Macaca fascicularis: one gene and its partners. The protein of the gene in region 3 purifies or fractionates together with the protein of the main gene of each other region. This does not show direct contact. Links are inferred from orthologs where the notes say so. Each region holds a gene or a part of one and is shown on either strand. Other genes may lie near its edges. The genes, in order: NFE2L2, cyclic AMP-dependent transcription factor ATF-7, JUN, COP1, CREB5 and DHX9.

Region 1 (5,162 bases), on a different chromosome or scaffold from region 3:
CTACCTTGGCCACTCAATAGTTTGGTCACCTTAGCAGGTCTTGGCCTTTCTCTGTGCCTCTTTCCTAACCTAATGCCTGATCTAACTATTATCTCTGGTTTTCCCAACCTGGAAACCAGGGATAATAGTATTTCCCGTGAGGTTACTGTAAAATTATGCATGTGAAGCAATTATGTTTGGACCCAGGGAAGTGCCCAGTAACTTATCTATTATTATCTTAGTGCCAAATTCTTCCTGCATACTGAAAAGATAACCCACGTTCAAGGAACAGTTAAGGAGGAAATACTGACACAAAACCCCCTTTTAATGTCTTCAGTCAGGACAGAGGAAATTCCCAGAAAAAAAAAATGTACTTGTTGTGTTCCTTTTTTTCACGCAGCTTTGTTAAACATGATTTATCCTCAATAGAAACAAATCTTAAGAAAAATGATGCATTTGGCTTTCAACTTTTCCTGGTAATCCTAAAGACAGAGTCGGTTTTCCCCCAACGTTGCTTATAACAACCCAGGGCAAGAAAGAAAGATTTCAAAATGGCCCAAGTTATTTTTAATGCGGAAAAGACTGATGTGAGTTATGCATTTATCCTCCTACATGCTGCTTCCACAACCTCTCAAGAGATTTTTCACATATCTAAAAAGTCAAGTTGGTCTTTGCTTAACATTCATTCAGGAGATGAGAGGCCTGTCCTATTTTTCTTTTGTTTGACTTAAACATAATCTCATCGGTCTATTTCAATATCAGCTTCATCCCTCATCCAGGAAAGTACTTTATCTCTCCAAGACACCCTTGAAAAGAGTAATGGATGTTCCTTCCACCTAATGGGGATACTGAATCTAAGGCTCTCCTTACTGCCCTGTTTATCAACACATCCTCTGCACAGAAGGTGAAAAACTACATCCTACTACCACTTCACACCTGGAGAGTTTTTTTGACAAAAGATCAAGAAAATGTTTGACTCAGTTCAAATCTTTATGGATGACAACAATCTAATATGAATCATAAACGAAATCAATTCTAAATTTTCTTGTTCTTTTTCTGTTTTCAAATATGCAAATCGATATCTGATTACAAAGGCAGAAAAGCAGTTATTTTTATCAAACGTAATTGAAAAATACACAATGCAGTACATATGTTTTATGCATTTTTGTATATGGAATGTTATATTACACAGCAAAGAAAGAAAAATTTAATAGAGGGTTGTAGACAATTTGGGAAATTAGAAAAACCAAAGTTCATTTTTATCATATATCCTTCGGTCAAACAAGCATTCCTATAGATAACTCTTGAACAGCAGCTATTAAATAAATCGTAAAGTACAATTTACTTCTTCCCTAGTTGGAACCAGAAGAATATAATCCCAATCAAGATTGGGGAAAAGTTCAAGACAACTTTAAAGGGGGAAAAAAAGGCACAATTAATACATTGTCTATAACTTAAAACTTTACAATAGATCTTTGGAATTAACCTAAGACTTTACATTTAACAGCATAAACGAATTTACCGTACATCAAGTACACGTTTCCTTGAATTCCAATTTTTTTCCTAAAATTCATTTACAAAAGAAATTAGAAATATAAATATCTACTTTTAAAGTTTCTACAAGGATGAGCTGAAACTTCTTTTCCCTTTTATAACAATTTACAGAAATTAGCATGTGTTTTGAAACGCAAGCGTTCCACTCTCTGCCCCTGCAAAAGAGGGTGGACATGTTAAGAAACTGAGGCAAATTCTCAACTGAAAAGGAAAAATATATAAAGTACTCAGGGAAGAAATAACAGCTGAAAGCAAAAAATTATTAACAAACTAAAAGCAATAGAAATTCTAATCTACACTCGCAACTCTTACCCTTGACAGCACAGAAGAGAATCTCCTGTCTTACACATTTTGGAATTGCAATTCTGAAACGCTAAATCCAAAGACAAAGCCGCTCTGGGGAAAATAACAATTGCGCAACAGATCAACAGCTCCAACTTGTCCCTTGGCCCTGGCGCGGCGAGGTTTGCACGCTATAAAGCAGGAAAGGGCCAACCGAGGGCTGCTGTGACGGCCAACAGACCGCTGTCACAGAGGCCAAAGCCACGCGCGCGGTGCGCGCCACCAGGGGGCACAGCGTCCGAACTAGACGCCCCGGGTGCCGCCGACTCCGGCCTCAGAGTCCGCTGCCCTCGCCCGCACTTTCCCGCGGCGTTGCGAGAGGCCAACTCCGGGTGCCCGGGCCCGAACCCCTCCCCGGCCGAGAAAGTGCGCGGGGCCCGGCTCAGCCGCCACACGTCGGGGCTTCTGGGCCCGCTGGGCACTTCAGGCGCTCCTCCCTCGTCCCGGGGTTGAGCTTTCAAGAAAGCTCAAGGCTGCCAGAGAGTGATCCGACAGATGGATGACTTCGCAAAGCAGCGCCCACAGACGGCCCAGCGGGGTGAGCGCGCCGCAGCCCGCACACACGGAGGTCTTGGGGCGCGGCGAAGGGGCTCTGGGTCCCAGCCCGAAGGCGACCTCAGTTCCCCCGAGAGTGGCCCCGTGACTAGGCACATTTTTGCCGGCTCTGAGGCGGGGGAGCCGCGCAGCCCCGGAAGGGCCGGGCCGCGCCGGCTCAGACGGCCAGCGTCCGCCCCCTCTTGCCCCGCTGCCCGCCGGGCCGCTCAAACTTAGGGGCTCCGAAGCCCAGCTCTGGGGACCGGGGACGCGGCTGGATTCGCCCACCACTGCCCACGCCCGCGGGCTCAGTCCCCAGACCTTCCCGCAACTTCCCACCCGTTCGCCCTCGGGCTCGTGGTCGGTCGGACCACCCGGCCGCGTCCCCGCTGCCCCTCCCCACCCTGCCCCAGCGCAAGCGCGGCGGCTCCAGCCAGCGCTGCGGTCCTGGCTCTGACCGGACGTGGAGGAAGCCGGCTGCGGCTATCCCTCCCGGGCCGCGGTTCCCTAGCTCCCCCGCCCCCGTCCCGGCACCACCGCAGGGCCCAGAGGGCCGAGGCAGCACCTGCTGGGACGGGAGTCCCGGCGGCGGCAGCTCCAACTCCATCATGCTGAGCTGGGGACCGTGTGTTGGGGCTCCCCGACGGCGGCCCCGTTCCGGCTGCCAAGGCGCGGCGCGGACAGGGCGGCTCTGGTGGCGGCAGCGGCGTCGGTGGCTCCTCCGGGCTCCCCGGCACTCGCTGATCGGCGACACGCCGGCGGGCCCCTGCCCCGCTCCGCCTCCCGCCCCAGAAGGGCGGGGCAAGAGCCTGGGCCCTTCCTTCCCCCGCCGGCCGCGCGGGCTGAGCTTCCGAAAATCCCCCACCCGCGCCTGGGCTGACGCAAGAAGCTCGCGGTCCGGGGGCGGGAAGGGACTGCCAGCTGGGGTCCCAGCAGGCGGGGGATCGAGAGGAGGCCACAGTTAGCGCCCCGGTGCCGGCGTTCAGTTGCCCTCCCCCGCAAATAAGGGCAGCGCTCTAGCCCGCGAGATAAAGAGTTATTTGCGAAGGTCGCTGGAGTTCGGACGCTTTGAAACAGTTTAAACAGTTGGAACAAACACACCCGGAGCCCCGGAAAGGCGTTGGTGTAGGAGCTGCGCCTCCCTGATTTGGAGTTACAGAACCTTGCCCTGCTTTTATCTCACTTTACCGCCCGAGAGTGGCGCCAGCCGGGGTGGGGGGCTAAAGGTTTGGACCCAGGCCGTGCCACTGCCAACTGCCCTCCCGCCCTTGCTCCCCTCCCGGGCTGGGGGCAGTGGGCCCTGCCCAGGGGAGATGTGGACAGCGCCGGGAGCTCGTGTTCGCAGTCACCCTGAACGCTCTCCTCTGAACTCCCACGTGTCTCCGTCAAGGGCAAACGGAGAAGTCCCTTTAGGTCGGAGAGTGGTCAGTATTGCCTACCCAGAGCTGGGAGAAAAACGGGAACCGCAAGAGAACTTCTTCCCACTAAAGCACAGCCACCACGCCACAGATGGCGCCCTTCAACAGTGTGTAATACCACAACATGCTATGATCTTTTAATCTTTACAAATTTCTTTTTCACGTACTCACAAAATAGTACAAATTTTAAAAAGTTACAAAAACGTTTGTATAGTATTGGCTCATTTTATAAAAACATGTGCCCAGAAAAAAATTGAAGGATAGTTACCAATATATTAAATGCTGTGGAATCAATGATTTTTATCTTTTTCCTTGCTACTTCCAAGTATGCTTTAAATCTGCAATGCGTATGTGTTATGTCTTACATTAAAAACAATTATTTAAACATTAATTATTGCCCAGAGAAAACTTCAAGTATTTGAAACCAGGAATATTGTGAACCTTATACGGGTTCAAAGAGGATAGATAAATGGTTTGGTTTTGTTTTTTTCTTTCCTCTTACGCATTTACAGTCTTTCTAACTCTTTAACAAGACTGGTTTTCAGTTTCTACCTTCCTGGAATTATTCAGAACCAGGTGAAGTAGATAATACTGGCAGTGGTTTTACTATTTCATTCAAAAACCACACACACACACACCCCTGACTATAGCGATCAACGCCCAAAAAACTGCAGAGCTTACTTTCTCTCTGTTGCATAATTTGACACTCCCAGGATTTATGTGTAAATTTGTATATTCAGATATTCCTTGAGATAAGTGAAGCCTACATTAATTACTTGTAATTGAAGCAAGCTTCTTCAATTCCTATTAATTCCTTTCAGCTGTTATGTGAAAACCCTGCAACATTATCTGCACAATGAAAACAAGTTAGGAGAAATTGTTTGCAAAGGACCTCACATGAAAGATGCAGAGACATAATAATAAAATAACATTTCTGAGTCCAAGAGAAAGACAAGAGTAAATTGTTAACAATTCAAGTTACTTATTAAAATTACGACATCAGAGAAGGTAGACAATGAACCTAGCCGGTAGGAGATACCAGAGTCATATGACACGGTTACTTCTCTAAAGGAGTTTATAATTTGGTGTTTCCTTGTTAAGCCACAAAATTTCCATTGAGTTTAGACTGAATGAAATAACCTTCACTTTTCCAATGCTGCAATTTGCTGAGAGTATGTTATTTCAGGCACCTGCAGAGTACATATTTTCAAAGGGAGGAGAGCAATATGATAAGAGTTTGAACATGTTTAAGAAAAACAAACAGTAAGGAAAAGCTATTTGGCATTTGGTTTTGTCAAATAAAGGGAACCCCATTCTCAAGACCACCCATGTCAC
Region 2 (5,084 bases), on a different chromosome or scaffold from region 3:
CTTGTCGCCCAGGCTGGAGTGCAATGGCGCGATCTCGGCTCACTGCAACCTCCGCTTTCCGGGTTCAAATGCTTCTCTTGCCTCAGCCTCCTGAGTAGCTGGGATTACAGGTGTGAGCCACTGCGCCTGGCCAATATACAAATTTTTCCTTTTTTTTTTTTTTTTTTTTTTTGAGACAGAGTCTCACTCTGTTGCCCAGGCTGGAGTGCAGTGGCTGGATCTCAGATCACTGCAAGCTCCGCCCCCCGGGTTTATGCCATTCTCCTGCCTCAGCCTCCCGAGTAGCTGGGACTACAGGCGCCCGCCACCTTGCCCGGCTAGTCTTTTGTATTTTTTAATAGAGACGGGGTTTCACCATGTTAGCCAGGATGGTCTCAATCTCCTGACCTCGTGATCCGCCCATCTCGGCCTCCCAAAGTGCTGGGATTACAGGCTTGAGCCACCGCCCCCGGCCAACATACAATTTTTTCTTACAAATTTAAGGTATGTTTCCATCATTGTATTCTTTTAAGTAGGAATTGTTATAGGGGAGAGTAGTTTGGAAGCCAAGACACCTCTCAACTTTTCTCAATTCACTACATAAGAAAGAAAGTGTTTCTACACCTGTGTCACCTTAGATATCTAGGGAGAAATCACCTAGATTCTTCCTACCTCTCAGAGGGTGCTGTGAGGATAGATAAGATGCTAGACAGAAAGTTCAGAAAGCTAAGTAACATAAAGCTGCAAAAGGAGAGAACAGAGATTCTGTAGATAATATTTTAAGTCAACTACAATTTGTTAAATTTTAAGATGATTATTTTATTTATTTATTTATTGAGACAGGATCTCACTCTGTTGCCCAGGCTGGAGTGCAGTGGCCTGATCTGGGCTCAAGTGATCTTCCCACTTAGTCCCCTGAATAGCTACTACAAGTGCAGGCCACCATGCCCGGCTAATTTTGTATTTTTTGTAGAGCTGAGTTTTCGCCATGTTGCCCAGGCTGGTTTCATATTCCTGGATTCAGGCAATCCTTTTGCCTTGGTTTAGCAATGTTGGGATTACAGGCGTGAGTCACTGCAACCAGCCTGTTTTTTGTTTTTCTTTTTTCTTTTCCTGGTTTGTCTTGAACAAGACCTATACATTTTTGAATATAGACTTTGCATTTGATAATTCCCCTGAAATCTTCCCAAGTCATAATTCAACTCCTGGTGTGTTACTTCCTCAAAGAGGTCTTCTTTCAAACACTAGGAGTAAAGCTTCTTCCCCATTCCTAGTAACTTTCTGTCTCACTATCCTGAAGCACTTTTCACTATTTGAAATATTTGTGTTTATTGGCTTTTTAATTGTCTCCCCTTCCTCACTCAAATATAAATCCTACCTGGGTTGATAACTCCTTAACCCCACGCTTAGAACAATGCTTTGCATGTAGTATGCCCTACGTTTTGTGAAAATATTTGCTGAATAATACAGTGATTTAAAAAAAATCCTCAAGCAATTTCATGTACCTCATTTGATCATTACAACAATTTGAATAAAATGAGATTGTTAGTCCCATTGTACAGAGACTAAGAGAAGATTTTCACCCAAGGCAATAGGACTAGTAAAATGGTAGTGTTAGAATTGCTGTGCAGGTGGATTGCTTTGTCCACACATGGACTTCATTTCTAGGGCTAAGGTTATTTTACTTTGCAGTTAAGGAAGCGATGACTCTGAAAGATAGTGGTAACCACCACTACAGGCACCGGTAAAGATCTTCTCTCCTTTTTCCTTTCTTTCTCCCGCTAGATTCTGCAGCCGAACACGTGTGACTCGTGTGGACAGTACTCGCTCAGTCTCCCTCCCCAGCCCTGCCCACAGTAAGCCCAACACCTTCTTTTCCCGGAGCCCCGCCTCTCGGCCGCTTTCCAACTCAGCCCCCACGGATCTCGCCCTTCCCCCGCGGCCCCACGACTTCTCGCGAGAGTTGAGCGCGCCTGGCCGGACGGGAGGAAAGTATCCGTTCCGCCGAGGGGGGAAAAGAGGAGCTGCAGAGAGATTGTAGGACCGAGCGCGGGCAGGCGGAAGGCAACGGAGCTACCAGCCGGTAAGTCCTTTTAACATTAGCTAGCCCATGATCTGACGGGACTCTCCCTTTCAACTCTGGCCAGTCCCAGCGTTCCGGGCTGGGGTCTCCCCTCCCAGTCTGTATTGGACGGGGGCGCTGAGGCGGTGGCCGGGCCCTGTCTGAGGAAGAGGGTGGGGGCATAGGCCAAAGCCGACCAATAGGAGAGAAGGAAGCCTCGATTGGCGGCGATGAGCGCTAATGGGAGATCGCTTTTTCCTTGCCGAGTGCCGCCCCTCTTCTCTCCCTACTCCCGCCTCCTTCCTTTGGGGGGAAGGCGGGGCCAGAGGCTTGAAGTGTGGGGAGAACTTGGGGTAAGTAGCCCCGGGGGGCGCAGGGCGTGGCAAGGAGAGGGGAATTGAATCCTGAGGGAAGGGTAGTCTAGTGGAGCCTAATGGAAGGATCATGGGATGGGGTGGAATGGGAGAAAGAGGAGGGATACTAAACTAGGTTAGAAACCCAGGACTTCCCAAAGAGTGGGATTAGGAGCTTGGAATTGGAAAAGGGTAATAGGCAGGAGGTAGGATGAGTAGATGAGAACAAAGATCTTGATCTGGTGACACAACACCCCGTTGGGTTTATCAGGAAAGATAGATAGGGGTGGATTATAGGAAATGAGGGTCGTGGCATTTCGATTGAATTAATAAAAAGAACATCAGGGACATGATGTCAGAGAGAAAGTATGGATTTGGAGAAAATTAAGTGAATGAATTTAAGAGGACAGTATGGGTGAGCTGAGTCGCCATAAGGCATGGCTTCTGGAAGGATATGAGCCTTGAGAGCGATAAGAGAAGTGTTTGGGAAGGAGATGGCTGATATACACATGTCTTTTGCCTAGGTATCAGGTGGTTGGGATATTGATTTAGGGCTTCTCGTGGTTATGGCACCCAGACTGGTGACCAGCCTCCAAGATGCTGGGATGGGAGTTGAGAAGGAGAAAAATAGAACACTTTCATCGCTTCTCTGATTTTCCTTCTCCCTCTCTTCTATTTCCCAAACTCTTCCGAAACACCGAGATGTGGGCTTTGGACTTAAAGCAGTCCAAGTTGGAGCCCCATAGGGACTTATATGTTGCTCTGAATTGCTTGTTATGTTCTCTGACTAGGGTGTTTACAACCCAGGGCACCTCCTACCCAGATTCCCGCGTTGCTACTTCCCTAACTTTAAAAGTTTATTTTCTACTTAACAGAGGGTGTTTTAGTATCTCTGAGGGTCATGTCATATTAAGTACAGGTGTGTGGGGGGTGTGCACAGTTTTCTCAGCAAGCTCACATGAGTCCTGTGTTTAAAAATTTTGCAGTAGTGTAATTCTTGTAGAGATATCAGTCTTTATGGGCATTCTAAGCAGAAATGCTACAATGAAGTTTGTTTTGTTAAATGTGGCTTCCCAGTCACTCTCAAAGAGTTGTCGAATGGGTGGTTGCAGTTTTAGTTAACTTATATAATATGTTTTTAAATGGTGCAAATGAAATAGACATGTTATTTCAGGAAAGTGAAAAATGTTCAGTTTTTTCCTTTGGGTCCAGACTCAGAAACTAAAGCTATGTCATAATGTCTTAGGCCAAGGGCTGGGGAAATCAAACACAATTTGTACTACACATGGAAGTTGTAAGGTAAGTGGAGGCTCTTGCGAAATGTATCATGTCTGTAAGAAAAGAAGCTAAAGAAAAGTTTGGCAGCTCTACTAAGTAGTCTTACCAGTTCTTAATTCTGTACAGAAGAGGGTCAGGGCTTTGCCCTTTGATAGTTGTGTATCATTTAATAACGAATTGGACTAATACAGCCAATTAATAACTTCTTTGCTCTTGCGTAGATTTTGCTTTTACATTCCTTCTCTTCTCCTTTTATTTTTGAGAAGTGAAATAATGTCCGAAATATCAGGAAAGCTATTATATGAAGAGAAACCAGAGTATGTAGTTGTATTAACCTTTGGTTTTCTGCAATCAGTTGAAACTTTTCTCCCTGGCCAAGAAGTTGCCCCTATAGCACATTGAGACCAATTCATTGCTGACCCTTTAGCATTAACTACTGAGCTGGGTTCTAGTATTTCACAGTAAGAGCATTGCTATTGGACATTCAGAAAATTTCCAGTTTGCCTGGCAGCAGCACAAAAAAATACCCAGTGAGAGAAGCAGAGTCCCTTGTTTTGGTCTTCTGTCCTAGACTTGGTGATTGGCTTTGACTAGGGCACTATTAAACCCAAGATTATTTTTTCTCACTAGTGTTACCATCTAGCAGAGAGCTAGAGTGATAACACCGCTCGTCTTTCAACTTGTGGATCAAAGTTTACACCCTGTGGTAGTTTCAGTGTTGTAATTTTTAAACATGTTTGTTTACCACGGTTTTAAAATGTTAATAGCTCCACTTACTGTATCTTGTTCTCTTTCCTTTCCTCATTTCCAACCTAAAATGAAAATTGTTTTTTCAGCCAACTCTTAGACTAATTCTTTGCCTGGAGTAAAGTTGCTGGCTCTGTCTGAACACAGCTGCTCTGAAGCTCTCAGAAGTTATTGTTTTGTGCATGTCAAGACTGAGTTTTTCCTAGGCTACAGTGGGAGGGAGTTAGTATTACCGCAGCCTCCTATCCACATCTGATAAGGAGGAGCCTTCTCCTTGCAAGGAAGTTTTAGGTGGAACAGATAGAACTCCATGTAAATGTCTAATAAAACTAGCTGTCTTCTTGAGACTAGTTGGCATACTGGTATGTAATTGTCCTTTATCCCTTGATAAAAGTACTAAAGTTAAGGTACAGATGTTTCTTTGAGAAAAACAAATGCAGCATTCATTTAAAAGGAAAAAGCATTCATTTCTTTTGTTGTTGGTTTCTCAGAAAATGGTCCTATGGTTTTGGAGTTCATGAAAAAGTCTTCTGTCTCTTTAAAAATATGTCAAAGAAAATAATTTTTAAGCTTCTCTGACATTTACTCATTTTGACATGTTGCCTTCCTCTAAGAGGTTTTTTTTTAGGAGAGATCAAATAAATTCATGATATGTGAAAACATAT
Region 3 (5,158 bases):
GAGACTGTTTCATTCAGATCACAACTTCCAGTTTGACTCTTCCTAAATTCTTTGCTTCTTAATTTTCAAGTCACTTCAGATTGCAGCAATGTTAACCTCAGCAACTAAAAATAAAAGCTTCAGTATATTACTTGGGAAGAAAAAAGTAGTAAAGGGAAGCAATTCAAGATCTGTTATTGGTATTTGAATACATTTATTGTGACAAGAATGCTGTTATAAATATTCATAAGCAAAGGCCATCTTTTAATCTAGGAATTGTCAAAGAGAAGATTCCAAATTGGAAGGATACATCTTTTGTAAAATCTGCCACCAATTCCTGCTTTGAGAATAAGCATCTATTGTTAAATTTCTACTAACATTATAAATGGTCACAGCACATGCCACTTGATACAATCCCAAACTTTGAAATGTTTGACTTCCCAGTGGGCTGTCCCTCTCCACTGCAACACACTCCCCCCCTTCCTCCAGCCTCCTGAAACATCGCACTATCCTTTGGTAAGCAATTCCATATAGATAGCTGGGGGAAGAAGAGTATAACCTGACCATAGAAGCAGGTACATCAGGAACATTTATTTCTAAAGTCTAATAGAGAACAGTTTTTACTGCTTGATAGTAAGAAGCACTGAGAGTGATTTTAATTGACATTCTTAACTCTTTCAACTCCACCTAGATAGCTAGTATCTATAGATGATGCAGAAAAGAGGTTAGGGGAGTACTTTTCAATAGTTTATTGTATTTTCTTAAATATCCTTTCTGGAATTTTCAGAAACAAAACATAAAAAAATTATATACTTTATTACAAATGGTAAACTCAGAGTGCTCCAAATCTCTTATTTACAAACAACACTGGGCAGGACACCCAAACAAACAAACAAGAAATAACTTACAAAGGCATGAAGCTGTTTATTGACAGTAATCAGCTTTCATCAAATTAAAAAATATATATATGTACATACACAGTTAACGAAGGCAGGCCAGAAAGAGTTCATCTGTAGGCTCAGCCTCGCTCTCACAAACCTCCCTCCTGCCGCCCCTCCCCAGCCCTCCCCCCCGCTTTGTGTTCTTAATGAGTACTACAGAAGCAATCTACAGTCTCTATTGCAGTTTGTAACCCCCTCCCCCTCCCCCCTTTAATACTGAATGAGATCGAATGTTAGGTCCATGCAGTTCTTGGTCAATGTTAACGAAAAGTCCAACGTTCCGTCCGCGCGGGGACAGCCCGTCCGCAAAGCGGGGCAGCCCGCAGGCGGCCGCTCCCTGGCTCCACGCCAAGGGAGGGCGCGCCAAGTCCTTCCCACTCGTGCACACTGGGGGCGCCGTCAGGACGCAACCCAGTCCAACTTGGATACCCTTGGCTTTAGTTCTCGGACACTTCTTTTTTCTCTCCGTCGCAACTTGTCAAGTTTTCAAGTCTGTCTCTCTGTGTTATTTTTTTTCTCCGTTGCCCCTCAGCCCCCAACAGTCTCTCTTCAAAATGTTTGCAACTGCTGCGTTAGCATGAGTTGGCACCCACTGTTAACGTGGTTCATGACTTTCTGTTTAAGCTGTGCCACCTGTTCCCTGAGCATGTTGGCCGTGGACGCCAGCTCCGAGTTCTGAGCTTTCAAGGTTTTCACTTTTTCCTCCAGCCGGGCGATTCTCTCCAGCTTCCTTTTTCGGCACTTGGAGGCAGCAATGCGGTTCCTCATACGCTTCCTCTCCGCCTTGATCCGCTCCTGGGACTCCATGTCAATGGGGGACAGGGGCGGCGTCTCGCCAGGCATCTCGGGCACTGTCTGAGGCTCCTCCTTCAGGGCTTGCAGCCGCGGGTGCTGCACGGGCATCTGCTGGGGCAGGTGGTGCGGCGGCTGCGGCGGCGGCTGCTGCTGCTGGGGTTGCGCGGGAAAGGCCAGGCCGGCCGCGCCGTAGGAGGGCGCCCCGCCGCCGCTGCTCAGCGCGCCTGGGTTGAAGTTGCTGAGGTTGGCGTAGACGGGCGGCTCGCTGTGCAGGCTGGCGCTGAAGCCTCCGCTGCCGCTGCCCCCTGCCACCGAGGCTACCGCTGGAGCTACCATGCCCGCCCCGCTGACCGGCTGCGCCGCTGACGTGACGCTGGGCAGCGTGTTCTGGCTGTGCAGTTCGGCCAGGGCGCGCACGAAGCCCTCGGCGAAGCCCTCCTGCTCGTCTGTCACGTTCTTGGGGCACAGGAACTGGGTGGGGGTCGGCGTGGTGGTGATGTGCCCGTTGCTGGACTGGATTATCAGGCGCTCCAGCTCGGGCGACGCCAGCTTGAGCAGCCCCACGTCGGGCGAGGTGAGGAGGTCCGAGTTCTTGGCGCGGAGGTGCGGCTTCAGGCTCCCCACTGGGTCGGCCAGGTTCAGGGTCATGCTCTGTTTCAGGATCTTGGGGTTACTGTAGCCATAAGCTCCGCTCTCGGACGGGAGGAACGAGGCGTTGAGGGCATCATCATAGAAGGTCGTTTCCATCTTTGCAGTCATAGAACAGTCCGTCACTTCACGTGAGGTTAGTTTGGGCTGCGTGCTGAAGTTTCGGGGCCGCAACAGCGCTCTGGCAAGCGGGGGACACCCGTGCCCCCCGGGGCCTTTGGCAGGGAAAGTTTCTCTAAGAGCGCGCGCACCCGCTGGTTGTCGTCCCCGCTGCGCCCTCCTCACCAGCTCGCTCCAGGGAGCGCAGGGTTAATTAAGATGCCTCCCGCACTCTTACTTGTCGACTCGCGCGCGCGCTACCCGGCTTTGAAAAGTCGCGGTCACTCACTGAGCGCTCTTCGGGCGCCGCCGTTCCTTGGAGTCCGCGGGCGAACTCGCTTCCCAGAGCAGCGGCTCTCCCGGCGGCGCGGATCAGTGCCGACCCGCAGAGGCCGACCAGCGGCGGGTCTCGGCCGCCCAGACTCCGACGACTTGTCCCCTCCTCCGCTGCGAGGGGGAGGGGGCGCCCGGCAGCCGCGGCTCGCGCTCGCCCAAGTTCAGCAACCGGTGCGAGCGAAGCTGAGCGCACGTCCTTCTTCTTTTGCGTGGCTGTCCGCCGCCTCCTGGTCTTTACCGCCGCCGAATAGCCTAAGACGCAGGAAAGGCTTGCAAAAGTTCGCTCCGGGACTCTGGGCCAGTTGTCTCCGGCCCTCCGGGCCGAGAAAGTTCTTTGCTGCTGCAGTCGCTCGCCGACTTCCCCCGGCGGGCGCGTGGGTACCGCTGCTCGCCACCGCTGTCAACAGCGCCTGGGCAGCAGGGCTCTCCTCCTGGGGGCGGCTGGAGACCAGGCTCTCTGGGCACTCCTCGTAACACCAGCCCGGGAGCCACAGGCGCTAGCTCTGGGCAGTTGGAGAGAAGGTGGAAAAGAAAATAAGATTTGCAGTTCGGACTATACTGCCGTCCTGGCTGGCTGGTTGTGTCTGTCTGCCTGCCTGAGTCCGCGCACCTCCACTCCCGCCTCGCTGCTTCAGCCACACTCAGTGCAACTCTGAGCCCTTATCCAGCTCGAGCTCAACACTTATCTGCTACCAGTCAACCCCTAAAAATAGCCCATGATGTCACCCCAAGGCCTTCCCATTGGCTCGCGTCGCTCTCAGGGGGGCGGGCCCGCCCGTCACCATGGAGACTCCACCCTAGAAGATTCTTCTCTGGGCCCGCGGAGGCTCACGGGATGAGGTAATGCTCCGCTGCCCTCCTACAGTCGGGCCCTTCTTTCTCCTACCCTCCCCCCTGCCGCACGCCTCTCGGCCCTCTCTTCCCCGGTCCCCTCCCCGGGCCGTTTTTCCCGGCCCGCCCGGTGCATTGTGGGCTGACGTCTTGGGGTTTGACTGTCTAGTGACGGTGGCTGCCGCGAGCGGGCGGACGCTCGCAACATCTGACGGAGGGGGCTCAAGTTCACGGCTGCGGACTGGGATGCAGGGGATGCGGGGACCCGGGAGGCCAGGGAACCCGGCCAGTTGTTTTGGGTCAAGGGTGCGGGCGAGGGGTGGTTGTGTTTCCCCACTTGTGGGGCTCGAAGTCATCCACCGGCGTCCGCCACCGCGCGGGGCGGGAGGCTGAGAGTCCAGGTCCGCCGCCCCCCCGCACTTCCGGGGGGCGGGAGCGCCGCCCTTAAGGTGGCTCTGTGAAGTCCCAGTTGGGGGCGAGCCTAAGGGGGCTTAAGTTTGGGGGCGGTCTCCCGAGAGTCGGCCCCCCACGTTGAGAAACGCTGCGAAGTTTGCATCTCGGTCAAGTTCAGGAGCGATGGTCCGCGGGGTTGTCTGGCTGCTCTTAGAAGCTGAGAGATTTGTATTGCCCAAAACTGGACGCTCAGCTGAGTCTCCGTTGCACCCCACTTCATCCTCCGGGACCGTGGGGGAAAGGGCGCGGGGGATCACAGCTTTGCCTCCGAGGGGCAGTTTTTATAGTGGGCGCAATTAGTGGGTAACAGGGTCCAGATGGGAACAAGCGTGTAGGCGATCCGAAACTCGGGGAACCCCGGTGTTAGTCTACTCCCCTTCCCGCCCCCGGACAACACACACACGCTTAACACAACACGCACAACATGCGCGCGCGCGCACACACACACACACACACGCACACACTCTCCACCCGCGCCGAGTTGCTTCCGGGAAAACAAGCTCAGAAGGCGGGGGACACTCGCATAAAGTAACGCAGTAGAACTCAGGAGCCCGGGGTAGAACCTGGACTTCAAATCTCCACCTTCCCGGCCGGGTGGTGGGCCCATATCCTGAGTAGCCTCTAGGAAGCGCTAGACACATGTAAGTGGTTCCTTTTCCGCGGTTGTTATTTTATCTTCCCCCCGCCCCCCACCCCTTAGGGACGAAAGTGTGTGGTGGAAAGAATCCCGAAGTCGGGAATGCTTGTTCTTTCGTGGCCAGGCTGCAACAGTGTGAAGCGAGCAAATCACGGAACTCCTCTGAGCTTCATTACCCTCATCTGCAGGTGGGGCCGGTGCCGTCCACATCACCGGGCTGCCGGGAGTTAGTGTGACAGGGTCGCCTGCAGCACTAGGGAGGTGGTGGCCAAACAGCTCGCTTCCCTCCCCTGCCTCGCGGTTTCCATCCTCGCAGAGCCTGGATAGGATGCCAGGATATAAGAGTGCGATTTGGCAGGACCAGGTGTACTTTCCTGTGAGAAGCTTCGAGGGGAGGAGGGGAGGGGGAACAGGGTTAGAAGTCAGCTCTTTCCCAAGC
Region 4 (4,556 bases), about 140 Mb from region 3:
AGAGAAACTGGCTGCCTAAAAAAGGAGACTACCATGTAAATCAGTGCAGTTCTTTTGCGTTAAGTTTGCTCATCTCACCTCTGTAGAATAATGTTTAGGCTGGGATTTGCTGCCTTGGCTGATGGGTCATTCTCCATTTATGATGAGTCTAAGGAAGCTATGGCAAAATTAATGCTAAGTGGCAGGAGAAACACACACATTTTGTTAAAAAACTTTCAATATTTCTACCAAATAAGCAGAGAATATGTGGAAAAAACAGGTACTCAACCAAAATGGTGTTTTGTTTAGAAAGTTCACTGCTTATCTCAGGATTTATTTATCCAGTGTATCATGTACAAGTGCTATATATGCATCAATCAATTTTCTTTCTTTTTGTTTTATGGCTAGGCTTCCTTGAATCACATCTATCAATTTTCAACTGAACACTAAAATAACTTGTCCCCCCCCTTTGACAACTGAGGAAAAACCTACTTTTTAGGGAACAGAAGAAAGAGAACCATGAGGAAGAGAATAAAATAAGACTAACATATGTTTAAATCTGGTGATGTGTAAGCATCTTCTGCTATATCTTGCATCTCCTGCTATGTTTTGGGTTCTGTCTACTGAAAGCCCTGTGGGATAGTTGTACTGGCATAACAGAAGCTAAACTGTGCTTAGCCCCCAGTGAATGTTCACTAGTCTTTATCTGTTTTTCAAACTGACCATCTATTAATCCATCTAGCATCCATACAACTTCAACAAGCACTATCATCTTCTCCACAGATGCAAGCTACCTATTCTTTTTCCTTAAATCAAGCCATTTGCCAGGAGACAGAGACCCATGATTTGGGATGATCGCTAAGACTCAGTACAATGGTATATTTCCATAATCCTGTTTCAGTCTAAAAATGGTCCTGAGTTTAAAATGGAGATACAGTAAATAGCTTACCTTAATTGTACCCTGACTGTTAGCAGCAATCAGCACATTGGACTCCTAGAAAAGAATAAGAGCTTTTAAAGTATAGAGAAGGAATTCCTGGAAAGCAATCCAAGAGATAATTTCCTCTTCATCCTTCTTTCTTCACTTCCTAAGACAACTGAATCTAATATGAAGATACAATTTTTTTTTTTTTTTTTTGAGATGGAGCCTTGCTCTGTCACCCAGGCTGGAGTGCAATGGCATGATCTCAGCTCACCGCAACCTCCACCTCCCGGGTTCAAGTGATTCTCCTGCCTCCGCCTCCTGAGTAGCTGGGATTACAGGCATGCGCTACCAGCCTGGGTAATTTTTGTATTTTTAGTAGAGATGGGGGTTTCTCCATGTCAGTCAGGCTGGTCTCGAACTCCCAACCTCAAGTGATCTGCCCACCTCGGCCTCCCAAAGTGCTGGGATTACAGGCGTGAGTCACCATGCCCAGCCGAAGAAACAATTTTAACATGTTTTTAACTACATTTTAAACTTAAGACCCCATATTTTGAGGAGTAAGTTTTGATTAAAAGAATAAAAAGTTAGAAGCAGAGTAGGACATTTTTGAATGTAAACAAAAATAAAAGGGAAAAAGATTGTCAATGGAAGAAAAGCCAAAAGAAACCAAGACTGAAATAGAATGAAAAAAAGAGTAAGTTGAGAAAAACAAAGTGAATAATTGCTTCCCCAGAACACTTCTTCTTAATTCATTTTCTCTCATAAAATACCAGTAATTGATGTAAAACCTGCCAACATCCTTGGCACAAATCTCTATGGATGGACATTTGGTATTAGGAAAACAAGAAAATGTGAATATTCATTTGGGAAAAAGGGCTATCTTTCTTTTTAATTAGTCTATCATTCAGCACATGCATTTTTAATAAACTTGGTGATTACCTGGATGAGAATATATGTGTTGAAGTATTTTTCTACTCTAAGCCAAGGAAAAAACATTTATCTGGAAATTAGGAAGGGTGGGAAAAAAAATGGACATGACTGACTTTACTAGAGAGAATCTCAGAAAGTAGGAAGAGTGGAGACATGCCTCCTGTAGGAAACTGGGCATCTAACAGGGCTCTGCAACTTTGACGTGTTGGAGTCTTTTGCTTTCCATGGTAGGCAGCTAAGAGGAGGTAAACAGACTTAAACTTCCATAGAGGTCAGGCCAGGTGGCAGAGAGAAAAATGAAGTCCAAATAACAGCTATGAGAAACAGATAAAGTGGTCTAACTTGAATGAAGGATAGGATCTACCTAAATATCCTTCAGGCTTCCTGACAAAGCAATACTAAGAAGAAAGAAAACTCTTGGCTTGTATGTTAGAAAAGTTACTTCAGCTAAGCTGAGTTAAACTTTAGTTTCTTTGACATATGCAAGTTGTGCTTTACAAACTCATATATTTCCATTTTTAAAATTTCCCTTTCATTTCGAATAAAGCCGCTCTTCAAAAATGTGCATCATGTTACTAATGGCATACAAGAAAATAATAATGTCCTCCACTACTGCAGAATTTTTAATGGAATCAGAATACTCCTTGGAATTAGTCAGTAGCATCAAATATTATAGGTTTATCAAGAAGAAATAAAGACATATGGGCATGGGAATTGTTGATCTTTTCCTAGCTGAGGATTTTCCTTAAATCAGCAGCACATGTTCTTAAAAATTGTAACATGGGGGCCGGGCATCGTGACTCGTGCCTGTAACCCCAGCACTTCGGGAGGCAGAGGTGGGCAGACCACGAGGTCAGAAAGAAGACTGAGACCATCCTGGCTAATATGGTGAAACCCCATCTCTACTAAAATACAAAAAACTAGCTGGGCGTGGTGACATGTGCCTGTAATCCCAGCTAGGCAGGAGGCTGAGGCAGGGGAATTGCTTGAACCCAGGAGGCGGAGGTTGCAGTGAGCTGAGATTGCACCACTGCACTCCAGCCTGGCGATAGAGCAAGGCTCTGTCTCAAAAGAAAAAAAAAAAGGAACATGGGTAATACAATACTCACTATTAGAATTAATTTAAACATAAACTTTGGAATATTATGGGCTATTTCTGGGACTTGATGTATACAGAATCAACACTTCCATATTCAGGGTGGGGAGTTGGAGTGAGGGGAAAGGAAGATAAATTTGGGATTTATTTACTCTTTTAGTGACTTGAATGTAGAAAGTGGTTGGAGTAGGTTTTGGATATCCTTTAGGAACATAATAACTTACCCTGAGTTGGTCAAGAGACAGCATTTCTATGCTGGCCTCAGAAAACAGCAGAAAGAGGCACTGTGTGGTGCAATATGGATTTCTTTCTAGCAAGAATTTTAAACAAGTTGTATGGTATCAGAACTGCCACTGGTGACCCAGAAATAATTCTCCTGTAAACATCATCCAGAAAAGCAGTTGAAAATCTCACTGATCAACCTAGTTGCCATTCAAGGAGGGGAAAGACTCTGGTCTGCAAGAAAGCGACTGCCAAGAGCCACCACCACTAAATGCTGCAGCCATCATGAACTGCTCCCTCTGCTATGAGAATGACAAGACAACGAAAAATTTAAAGCCGAAAGCTCCATCTCTTTCTGCCATTTTGGGTCTAGTCACCTTTTAATATAGAGAAGGAATGCAGAGAGACCTGGTGAAGATGAGGATTCACTTGGGGATAAGCAGGGAGTCTACTTCTGGCAGTTATAGGGATTATAAATTACATAATTAAAACTTCTGACTTCTGACGGGAGGAAAACTAGGAAAAGTATAGTATATTATCTTACAGTATGGAAAATTAGGCCCAGTACAAATAAGATAATCTAGTTGGATTACCACACAAGAGGAGTTTAAAATATGTACAATTACCACTCTAAACCCAAGAAGGAAGACATCTGATAACTATCCAACATGAATAAACACTGTCTTATTGTTAACCTCAGGATTACTATGGCATTAATATATGATGTCATATTAGATGCTATCCAAGGGTTAACTCTTAACACTATTTCCTGCAGAAACAGATAATACTTTATGTGTTAAAAAAAAAAAAAGTCAACATATGAATTGAATGCCAGTTTGAATGGTCTTTTAGGACTAAAATTTAATGAAAGAAAAATAATGGCTTCATATCTCAATACATCCCCTCTCCCCAAAGGCAATATGATTACAAAAAAGTTATTTAGAATTAAACTATCAGATAGCTAGATATTGGCTTAAGATAAATTTTTTTTTTTTTTTGCATGCAACAGAAAAATAAAACCAGGTATTTTATTTCTAGCATAGAGATCTGGAAGTGGTACATACAAGGTTATTAATGTAAGTTTTTAATGATTCTTGATTGCATTTTGGATGACTGGTAATTCCTAGTTGTAGCTGTGGTCTGTTAGAGCCTAGTATAAATAAGTTCTACCTCAACAGGTAATTTTTAACTTGCTAAATAAGAGTGCCAGTTAGTAATTCTTATTATTTTCTCCCTCTTTTTTGGGAACCAGCAGTTTTACTGCAGAACTCTCCTCAAGGCTAAGCTAATAAAATATCCAATATTTTTTCTGACTATGAAGAGACTAAGAAAAGACAACAGAAAAATTAGCAAGTCTTTTATAAAGACAGGAGACATATAAACATGCACCAACTTGCTTAAGTC
Region 5 (5,009 bases), on a different chromosome or scaffold from region 3:
TTCTCTAAGTTTCTTTTAGTAATGAGACTAATTTTTCCAGTAGCCTTGAACTCCCTAGATTTAACTGACATGGAAAATGTGACTAAAAATTTGTAGAACTGTCTAGCCTCCAACCCTACACAGAATCAACTTTGTTGTAAATGTTGAAGAACACCTCGCAAGCAGCTACATGCTCAGTTTCTACTCCTGCACTACGCAGCAGAGAACACCAAATAACAGTGCGCCATCTAGTTAGCAAGCTGCAATCTCCATGCTAGAAGGGGGGACACTTTCAAACCCTGGGAGTTAAGAACTTGTCAGGGTTCAGCTGCTCTAAAGGTCCAATTGTTTATTTAAATAAAAAAAAAAATATCGCTACTGAGATAATCCACATCTAGTGGATATGGGAAAATTTAGGTTATAATGGCACTACAAACTTTTACATCTAACTTTGATTTACAAGATAAAAGCAAGTTTTAAATTAAAAGGGCTTTCTGTTAATAGAGCTTATTATTCTGAAGACGGGAATGATTTTCTTCGAAAGTTGTCCCTGGGTGCATGCCTATTATCTTTGCTTTTCCCCTTCCACTAATGAGCATTTATCTAAAGAGCCTGTTAATCCTCTGATGTGTGCTTCTGGTCAGAGGTAACAGTTTGAATAAAACCACTAATCACTGATCACTAAATCACTGATCATTAATCACACTTTCCAGTGCCCATGACTGGGCCATTTTTTTTTTCCTTTAAGTCTATGCATCACAAACAAGAAGTTCAACATTTTCGATGCACACATATTGTGTGGAGGTTACACTATTTCATCTCTAGATGTGAATAAATACTAAATCCTGCCACAAACTTGGGGAAGTATGTCAATTAGACCCCAGACAGGAGTTTCACAAATGTCTACCCTACAGCATGGCTTTCACTTTGAAGAAAGTAGATCTAATTATAAGAAAACATGTGTTCTTCAAGAAATTCCTCATATTGGCAATATAAATATTTCTTTATTTAGTTTTCACCAACTCCAAATCAGGAACCACTCCAATTCCCTCTCCCGCTCTATCCAAAACTCTGTTAATACTTTTATAATTTAATTTCTGCACATTTCCCTCCCCCACCCCCCCGCCAAGAGTTCTTTTTACTTTGATCCCTTGCAACAAGTCATACACAGGGTCTTTATTTCAACTGCCAGATACGGAGGTTCTGACTCAATTCAATGACTTACGTATTGAACTTCCTCTTTCAACATAGAAACTTAAGGTTAAAAGCTAGAAACTAACGCACACACCAATTTATTGTATGGAAGTTTAGGTTCAACAACTCATATTCCCTTACTTTGGAAATGAAACGTTTAGTCTTGATCCTTTCAGCTAAACCTGATTTTGTCAGCATCCTGGCTTCTTCGTCTTCCCTCTTCTGCTGAAGGGCAGGCACTACGTAAAGTGAAGTACTTTGTTTGCAGTGGGTGTATTGCCTTCCTAAGTCACCACCACGAGGACAGAGTATTATCATAACGCTTGGAAACATTTCCTGATTTGCCTTTTCTATCAGGACTAAGCATTTTCGCTCTAGAGGAGAAGGCTTGCTGGTGCCTTTCTTAAATAATACAAAAGGGCAGATTGCGCGCTGATCAGGTACAGTGGTCCCCTCAGACCCCAGAAGCTTTTACCCACACTCCAGGGACTGTGCTCGCTCCAGGGAAAGCTGTAAAAGGCGGGGCCGGGGCTAGAGTGATAACGGTGTAGACGGGGGAGTGGTGGAGAGGGAGGGGTTGGGAAGAGAGGGCAATAAAGATGCCTAGGGAGGGGGCGATTGCACGAGTGTGTTGTGAGGAGGGTAGGGGGATGCACAGCAGAGTTGCTTTGTCAGCATTCTAAGCTCCTGAACCCTTGAGGAGCTCAAGCCGTTAATCAAACACTTACTGGCCTGCAGAATGACGTAATGGACCTGTATCCAGCCTTTATTCCTTGACACATGTCAGAGAAGGAGGGAAAAATAAAAATCAAACACATTCTGCAGACTGACAACGAAACATACAAGTAGCCCGCTCCAGACCCCGGCCTTGAACAAGCATCAAGTGGGGGCGGCACCGGTCCAGGGAAAGTTGGGGACGGGGATGAGAGTGTGGACAAGGTCTGGGGCTTTATCTACTAGACGTCCCTTAAAAACAACTCTATGGCAAAGAAGTGGATGCAGCTGCTGAGAGAAAACATCTCCTTGGTTCCTTCCTTCGCATCTTGCCCCTCTAAGAACTTCACGAAAAGTTCAAGTGGTTCTGCCGAGAATCTGCCGCAGGGGGAGACTCCGCCGCCGGGTCCTGGGAATTGCCTGGGCGCCGCCAAGGCTCGAGCCGGAGCTGTCATTTGGGGCAGCGGCCGGGAAGAGGTAATGATGCCAGCGAGAAAGCAGCGGAGGCAGGAGGCGGCCGGAGGAGTGGACGGGAGCGGACGGAGCCTCGCCGCTCTCCAGCCCGGAGTGCCTGGAGCGAAAGCCAAGCGCCCTCCAAGGGCGACCTTCCCTCCCCGGGCGCGCGCCAACCCACTGCAGCCAGCAGCCCCAAGGGAGAAGTGGCAGCGGCAGCTCCGCACCGGGGAGAGCGAGCCCCCTGCGCGCGCGCCCACCCGCCCCCTAGGTGACCCGGAGTCCTCGCCGCGCCCGCTGGAAGTTTGCAAACTTTCTCCGGGGATTCCGCCGCCACGCTGGGAAGCTGGGGACGCGGGGGGAGGTTCCTGGCTCGCCGTCTCCGCTGCCGCTTGACCGCACTTCTGGAGGACTCCGCACCTTGCCAGGTCTCTGGAGGCAAACACACACCCCCGATTCATAACTGGTCCCCGCGTCAGGGGACTCGCGCGCTCCCACACACGCACGCACGCCGGGCGGACTCGGCGCCGGCTCCACGTTAGCATCCCTCCAGGCGCGCGGCGCGGCGGCCACCGAGCGCTCCGGCACTCACTCGGCGCGGGGTCTCTGGGGTGGCCTCAGGACACAGCCGAATTCCACAGTCTACCAGCACTCGGGGCCGGACTTCCCTCTGGTCCGCCAAAATGTTTACAAACACAGATCACCCTCCAGAAAAAAATGCATCGCATCTTCCCTACTCCTTGCCCTGTGACCTGCCCACTGGACCAAGTAACCTCGCGGCTGCTGCCGAGAACCAACCCCTGCAAACAAGTACGCTCCCGAGATGGCTCCCGCGGCAAGTGCAACAAAAGTGGCTAAATGCAAAAGCCCCAGAAGTGGCCGAGCCGTATTTTTAGGAACTTACCAAACAAGTGTGGAGAAGGCAAGAGCGGAGCCCGGGTGAAGGGACCACGTTGGACTGAGCAAAGATTACAATACATTCTATTTAGAGTGCATTACATCACCCCCCCGGTGACGTCACGTGGGATTCCTGAACTTCTAAATCATTGCGGTCCGCTGGGGAGGGACAGAGCGAGGGGCGGGGCCGGCGCGTCGAGGGGGCAGGCCCCACCCCGGCCCCGCCCAGACCCCGCCCCGCCCGCGCGGACCCTGGTGCACCCGCCGGGGAGCGGCAGCGGCGGGGGCGACTGCGCAAGCAACAGCTTGCAGAGCCCAGCGCCGTGTGACACGGCTCCCTGACATTAGTGGTGTGAGTCAGCTTGGAAACAATCCTTATGGTTTCAGACAGGACCACGGAGGAGGCGCGGGCGTGGGCTGTTCTGCGGGGAGGGCCTGATGGGGTTTGAAAGGTGTAGGGATGGGGGTTAGGGGAGAGGTGGGGAGGGGGATGCTGAAGGATGTGGGAAGAGGCTTTGCAAACAGAAATGCAGGACGCTCCTCCCTCCCCCAATGAGGATGTCCAGCTCCTTTTTGCTTGCGACAGTCATGACCTCATTTCAGTGTTCCCTGCATCCTGGCTTCTCAGAGCACTCACTTGTCACCCCTTCTTCACCGCCCCCCATCTCACCTCCTCCAGGAGAATAACTTCCTTATGGTGCACACTCTCATGAAATACACAGCCCCCACCCTTCGCGGGACCCCTGCTTCGTGCGTCTGAGAAGCTGTAGGGAGAGTTGCTCCTAAGGCGAAAGGTGAATCACAGCTAGAGCCAAGTGATGAGCCTGATTTAGACACGGCGTCAGAGCTGAAAGGGCCCTTGGCTGTCACTTCCAGAGCCTCTTCGGTAACTGGCCCAAGCTCACGGGCTGGGAAGCGGCAGAGCCAGGGCCAGACTGCAGGATCCGGGCGCCTGGTCTGCAGCGAGAGGAGCCTGGCGTCTCCAGCATCCGGCCGTCACCATCACTGTCACCATTCCCCTGCTGAATTTCCTTTCAGAAGTTCTCCCTTTGAGTAGGATTCAAAGAGAAGGCATAGACTAAATCCAGCCCGATTCTAGACGACCAGTGCCAACCTCGCAGCCCCTCACACCTTACAAAGCATTTGCAACCACGTGAATTCCCTTGTTTCTCACAACAACCCGGGTACCATAAGTAGGACAGGTATTATAATTATCCCCATTTTACAGGTGAGCTAAGGCAGACACCAGAAGGTTAGGGGGCTGGCCTGAGATCACTTGATGAGCAAGGGGTGGCACTGGGCCCACCTCAATCCCTGTTTTCAAGCCCAGATCCCAACTGGGCTCCTTCATAGAGCCAGGGGTAAACATTCCCTTCTTGTGGGTTATTGGTGGTTGGAACCTCTGCTAAGAACACATTGGCTGGGAGTTGGAGCTTTGCTTAGAAACAGTTTAGCCCCCGTTAATAAACAATAATCATTTCTGACATTTATGTAACATCTGACATTTATATAGTACCTCTCATCCCAACGCATCACAACCATGACGGTGCAGTTTGCCAGAGAATCATGACTGGACTGGCTAGAAACTGTAATACATTGCCTGGATTGTCACATACTTCTGAGCTGGTTTTGACATACTAAATGGAAGAGCTTAGCATGTTATTTCTGTTTTTAAGTGTTTAAATGGCCCCTTGCCCTTTAGTGTTCCTTGAAACCACAGGGACTGATGACTGTTTGATCCTCACAGCCTTATTCAGAGTTCATCACTGAGT
Region 6 (4,556 bases), about 140 Mb from region 3:
GCCTGGGCAACTCAGTGAGACTTTGTCTCGAGAAAACAAACAAACAAAAAAAACCAAACTTCCATCTCTTTTTTAGATTTCCATTGGCTTAGTGATAAAATGTTTTTTTTTTTTTTTCCCCAAAAAATTTCTCTAATAGAACTGCTTCTTTCCACTAAACTTCTGAAGAATGTATCTTTTGGTGTTGTCCAAAAACTAAATTTTCTCATTGTCCCTGAACATCGCACATGCACTCCTTCTAACATTTTAATTTTTTATTTGGAAAACACAAAGACAAACAACAACAAAAAACCCAACAACAAAAGGAGTTACTGCCCTGAATCTCTCCACTTTTATTAAATTACATTAAGAAGTGAAATTATCTCCCAGGCCCTCAACTCACAGCAACTAACTTCTGGGGTAACTAGGATTAAGCAGTTTGGTACATATCTTTTGATGTGCCCTCCTAAAAAGGGCAAAATGTATTATTCTTTGACTTTTTACCCAAACCTAGAATGTTCTGAAGCTCTGGGCACTACATGTCTAAATAATTCAGACTTACTGCTTGCAAATCATGATCCTGTTCCAACTGGTACATCAATTCATTCTTGAGGTCCATGCTTATTTGCTCTGGAGTAGCCTGTAAAACAAAAAGCCAACATGGTCAAACAAAGCATGTAATTCTGCTTCAAAATAAATCCATTTTTTACCTAGACATACTAATGAAGTATAGTCAAGAGTAAAACACAAGAGTCTCATCTCAAAAACAATATTACACTCACAAAAGCCAGAGGCCCCTCATCAATGTTGCTACTAGTCCAAGGATTCCAGTTGGATTGTGGAGGTGACCAAGGAACCACACCCACTTGGTTTTGTCGCTGAGATGGTTCAAATTGAGCCAATTTGCCAATGTTGAGTGCAACTGGCACAGAAGGATCTTCAGGCTATTAAAAAATAAGAAAAAAAAAATATGACTTGCTTGTCTACTGAGTGTTTTACACAAATGTGAACTAAATAGCTTTATGCTTACCGGGGGCAAAATCTCAAGGTTTAGCTCTTGAATGATGTTTTGCAGTTGATGCTCTAAATCTTGAGAGAGGTTTACTTTGTAAGGCTCCACCTACGGAAAAAGGATCACACATAACAACACTACTCAAATCTACTACAATGGGGCTAAGACTATACAGTCAATACTAAGTCTACAATATTCCTAAACCAACAGTCAGTTCCCTTTAGTGCAAGAACTACTTCAATGGTTATTTACTCACTGCCTATTATGAACATTATGCCAGACACAGAGATGATTAGCAGGACCATTTTCATTCCCTGAGGTAAGATTCCTTGAAATTAAACTTCTTTAGCCAAATACTAAACAAGAGCTAAATTGAATCCTACACTATCTCACAAGTCTATTAAATCTAAAGACTCACTGTCTCTCCTTCCTTCTTCTTTGTAAGTCCAGAGTAAGCTTCAACCACTCCAAGATGGTAGAGTTGTCTGACAAGTGACAGGGCACAGGACTGTGCTGCCAGTTTCTTATTTGATCCATGTTCTCGTGCAAAAATCCCTGTAATGTAAGGTCAGGATTACCAGAAAGAAATCACCTAAGTGAAGAAACATCACAAGAAACTATGGGTTTACGTACACAAGAAGCTCTCAAATACAGTGTATGCCATGGGTTCTAGCTAAACAAAAGAAATTGCCCAACAGCTTAGCAACTAAATAACCAACTGTTTTGGTTACGGGCTGATACTAGGACTCATACAAATCAATATTATGAAAGCAAATAATCTATTTCAACAAAGTTGTCACTGTTAAGATCATCGGGCATTAAAAAAGGGGAAGAAAACATAGTTTGAAAAGACAAAGAGTAAAAAATAAACCAGTAAAAGTAATTGGGTCCAGAGTGGTTAACTAGACCAGGATTTGGGAAACTTTTTCCATAAAGGGTCAAATAATAAATATTTTAGGCTTTGCAGGCCATAGAGTCTCTTGTCACAACTACTCAACTCTGCCTTTAATGTGTGAAAGCACTTACTGACAATAGAGTTTGACAAACCACAGGCCTGGGAATGGCTTTACGGTTTTCAGGATTTGTAAAAATAAAACGAAAATAACAACGTGTGACCTGTGAAGTCTAAAATATGAGTGTAGCTATGTTACACAATAAAACAGTTCTTATAAAAACAGGCAGTAAGTTGGATTTGGCCAGAGGGATATAGTTTGCTGACTTCAGCATTAAACTAAAGCTAAGTTACTCATATCCTTAAAGAAAATATTAATAGAAAGTTTCCTCTCCTCCAGTATCATTCAGCTTTAGGAGAGATGAATATAAAGCAAAGGGGTACAAAGATATCTTTCTGCCTAACTAGCCAAATTAACCTTGATAAGTGAGCTGACATAAGTTAGCCCGCCTTTATCCTCTCTCCCTTAGTATTACCCATCCACTCAAAATAACTCATTTTATATATAAAAATGAAAAAATGTTTTAAGGCCAGGCGCAGTGGCTCACCCCTGTAATCCCAGCACTTTGGGAGGCTGAGGCGGGCGGATCACAAGGTCAGGAGATCGAGACCATCTGGCTAACATGACGAAACCCTGTCCCTACTAAAAAATACAAAATAATTAGCTGGGCGTGGTGACTGGCGCCTGTAGTACCAGCTACTGGGGAGGCTGAGGCAGGAGAATGGGGTGAACCCGGGAGGCGGAGCTTGCAGTGAACCGAGATCACGCCACTGCACTCTAGCCTGGGCGACAGAGCAAGACTCCATTTCAAAAAAAAAAAAAAGTTTAAAATTCTTTGACGCTGGCAGATTCCTAATCATCTCACTGTGTCTTACTTTTGAAATACTACACTAACACGGTCTGTTTTCACATGCAAACTGGGAGACTTTGCCTCTACTTTATAATTACTAATATTCTAATATATACCCTAGATGCTATCTTATATCACGTGCTCTTTCAATAATACAGCTTCTGTATTTCAAGACTTAAATGTGAAGATTCCTTCTCTATACAAAGACTTGGAATATTGGGTAACAGTAACACTTACTTCTGCCCAGCTGCTTGATATAAATGGTCATTTCTGCAATAAAGCTCCTGTAACAACATATACAAGCAAGGTTAGAAATTTCACTGTTAGAAACTGGCAAATCCAGGTCTCCCAAGTCAGGCAGGCTTTCCAACTGCTTAGGCAAATCACAGAAAAAAAAAAAAATTACCAACATTTATTTCTGCCCAACCCTAGAACAAATGAAGTATATAAACTTCATATAATATACAACATGGCATAACACAACTATAATCAAAGTTGATGAGCCAATTGTTCATGAAAGGAAAACGTTAGGGTATTAGATTTTATATTTACTTACTCTTATTCCAAAGGCTGGAGTCTCAAGAGCTACAACACATTCCATGAAAAGGAATTTTCCACTTAGCTTGGAGCCAAGAAATAAAGCAGGCCCCAAATGTTTTACATTACAGTTATAATTATTGTAAGATTCCTTTGCATAGGCCACTCAGTAATGACTGCGATCTATTAAGCTAATATACGCAAACACACATGCACATACACTTTGTGCATAATCAATGGCTCCTGAGGCAGAGTTCTCACATCTGCCTGCAGTTGGAAGCAGCCCTGGATGACAAAAAACTTAGCCTATTTTTATCACATTTATTTAAATCAGGTCCTGGAGAATAAAACACATGTTGTAACATTACATCTAAAACTGCTAGCAGAGTCTAAAAAATGAATTTAGGTTTTAGTAAGGGAAAAACTGCCCTTTGAAAACTATGCATTCTGGTCCCTTCACTGCTCAGATACATTCTAACCTAGACTTGGTGGTGTGAATAAAAGGCTGGGTGAGGCTTAAGAAAAAAATAAATGTTAAGACTCCTTCCTATACCTCGTGTGAACTGACCTTCAGGCACAGCGGCTTCAGGGGTCAAAGGCCACTGGCTTTCAGGGGAACAACATCCACCCTTTCATTAATGACATCGATGCCAGTATGTTTCTCAGCCAGGCTTAAAGTCAGCACTCAATCTCATTCTCCTCCACCTAGGGGGAACAGCGACACCAGAAATCAGTTTACAATAGTTTCCCATGTGATTGCTTAGTTCAGCCTAAGCAGCAGCACATGTGTGTATGAACACAGACCTCTGGTGTTGCTGTCTGTTATGCCTTTAAATAAAAGGACATACAAAGAGCAATGCTGTCCTGGCTCCCCCAATTTCTGTGCCTCCCACATTGTCTTTTCCTGAATTCGTCACTGCTTTGTATCAGAAATCTATGGTAAGATACTGATAACAAAAAATGTCTGCAACGATGAGCTTCAGGCACACTTAGGTATCTTATTGTTCTTAAAGTCACCAAGTGCTACCAAGCCCAATCCGTTCAGAAAGACAAAATATGAAAGAAAACAAATCATCAACAAATGTATCACTCCTTTGCAACCTGAGGGTTTTAAAAGGCTGACACCAGAAATATTTGAGAATTCAGGATTGAACAAAACAGTGGGAGGAAGGGGGAACCATGCTCTAAATATCATTTTGATCAGTGACAAAATTTTGTATTAATA

What was found.
Region 1: the proteins of JUN (region 3) and NFE2L2 purify together in Homo sapiens (affinity purification with western blotting; 4 studies listed by BioGRID and IntAct, with this or other methods). This does not show direct contact. The link is inferred for Macaca fascicularis from reciprocal best matches to the Homo sapiens genes JUN and NFE2L2.
Region 2: the proteins of JUN (region 3) and cyclic AMP-dependent transcription factor ATF-7 purify together in Homo sapiens (affinity purification with mass spectrometry; 3 studies listed by BioGRID and IntAct, with this or other methods). This does not show direct contact. The link is inferred for Macaca fascicularis from reciprocal best matches to the Homo sapiens genes JUN and ATF7.
Region 4: the proteins of JUN (region 3) and COP1 purify together in Homo sapiens (affinity purification with western blotting; 9 studies listed by BioGRID and IntAct, counting the BioPlex papers as one, with this or other methods). This does not show direct contact. The link is inferred for Macaca fascicularis from reciprocal best matches to the Homo sapiens genes JUN and COP1.
Region 5: the proteins of JUN (region 3) and CREB5 purify together in Homo sapiens (affinity purification with mass spectrometry; 5 studies listed by BioGRID and IntAct, counting the BioPlex papers as one, with this or other methods). This does not show direct contact. The link is inferred for Macaca fascicularis from reciprocal best matches to the Homo sapiens genes JUN and CREB5.
Region 6: the proteins of JUN (region 3) and DHX9 purify together in Homo sapiens (affinity purification with mass spectrometry; 3 studies listed by BioGRID and IntAct, with this or other methods). This does not show direct contact. The link is inferred for Macaca fascicularis from reciprocal best matches to the Homo sapiens genes JUN and DHX9.

The regions. Positions count from the first base shown.
Region 1 is NC_088386.1:72,799,512-72,804,673, forward strand, and holds the start of NFE2L2 (nuclear factor erythroid 2-related factor 2), read right to left. Parts: upstream 3,188-5,162; 5' UTR 3,020-3,187; coding exon 2,975-3,019; exon of another isoform or gene 1,846-2,974; intron 1-1,845.
Region 2 is NC_088385.1:60,446,419-60,451,502, reverse strand, and holds the start of cyclic AMP-dependent transcription factor ATF-7, read left to right. Parts: upstream 1-1,958; 5' UTR 1,959-2,062; intron 2,063-2,348; exon of another isoform or gene 2,349-2,394; intron 2,395-3,640; exon of another isoform or gene 3,641-3,693; intron 3,694-5,084. UniProt on the Homo sapiens protein: Stress-responsive chromatin regulator that plays a role in various biological processes including innate immunological memory, adipocyte differentiation or telomerase regulation.
Region 3 is NC_088375.1:175,917,718-175,922,875, reverse strand, and holds JUN (transcription factor Jun), read right to left. Parts: upstream 3,453-5,158; 5' UTR 2,475-3,452; coding exon 1,470-2,474; 3' UTR 714-1,469; downstream 1-713. UniProt on the Homo sapiens protein: Transcription factor that recognizes and binds to the AP-1 consensus motif 5'-TGA[GC]TCA-3'.
Region 4 is NC_088375.1:33,515,993-33,520,548, forward strand, and holds the end of COP1 (E3 ubiquitin-protein ligase COP1), read right to left. Parts: intron 974-4,556; coding exon 845-973; 3' UTR 361-844; downstream 1-360. UniProt on the Homo sapiens protein: E3 ubiquitin-protein ligase that mediates ubiquitination and subsequent proteasomal degradation of target proteins.
Region 5 is NC_088377.1:101,860,310-101,865,318, forward strand, and holds the start of CREB5 (cyclic AMP-responsive element-binding protein 5), read right to left. Parts: upstream 3,301-5,009; 5' UTR 3,245-3,300; intron 1-3,244. UniProt on the Homo sapiens protein: Binds to the cAMP response element and activates transcription.
Region 6 is NC_088375.1:40,389,651-40,394,206, reverse strand, and holds part of DHX9 (ATP-dependent RNA helicase A), read right to left. Parts: intron 3,079-4,556; coding exon 3,032-3,078; intron 1,547-3,031; coding exon 1,410-1,546; intron 1,100-1,409; coding exon 1,010-1,099; intron 924-1,009; coding exon 762-923; intron 620-761; coding exon 542-619; intron 1-541. UniProt on the Homo sapiens protein: Multifunctional ATP-dependent nucleic acid helicase that unwinds DNA and RNA in a 3' to 5' direction and that plays important roles in many processes, such as DNA replication, transcriptional activation, post-transcriptional RNA regulation, mRNA translation and RNA-mediated gene silencing.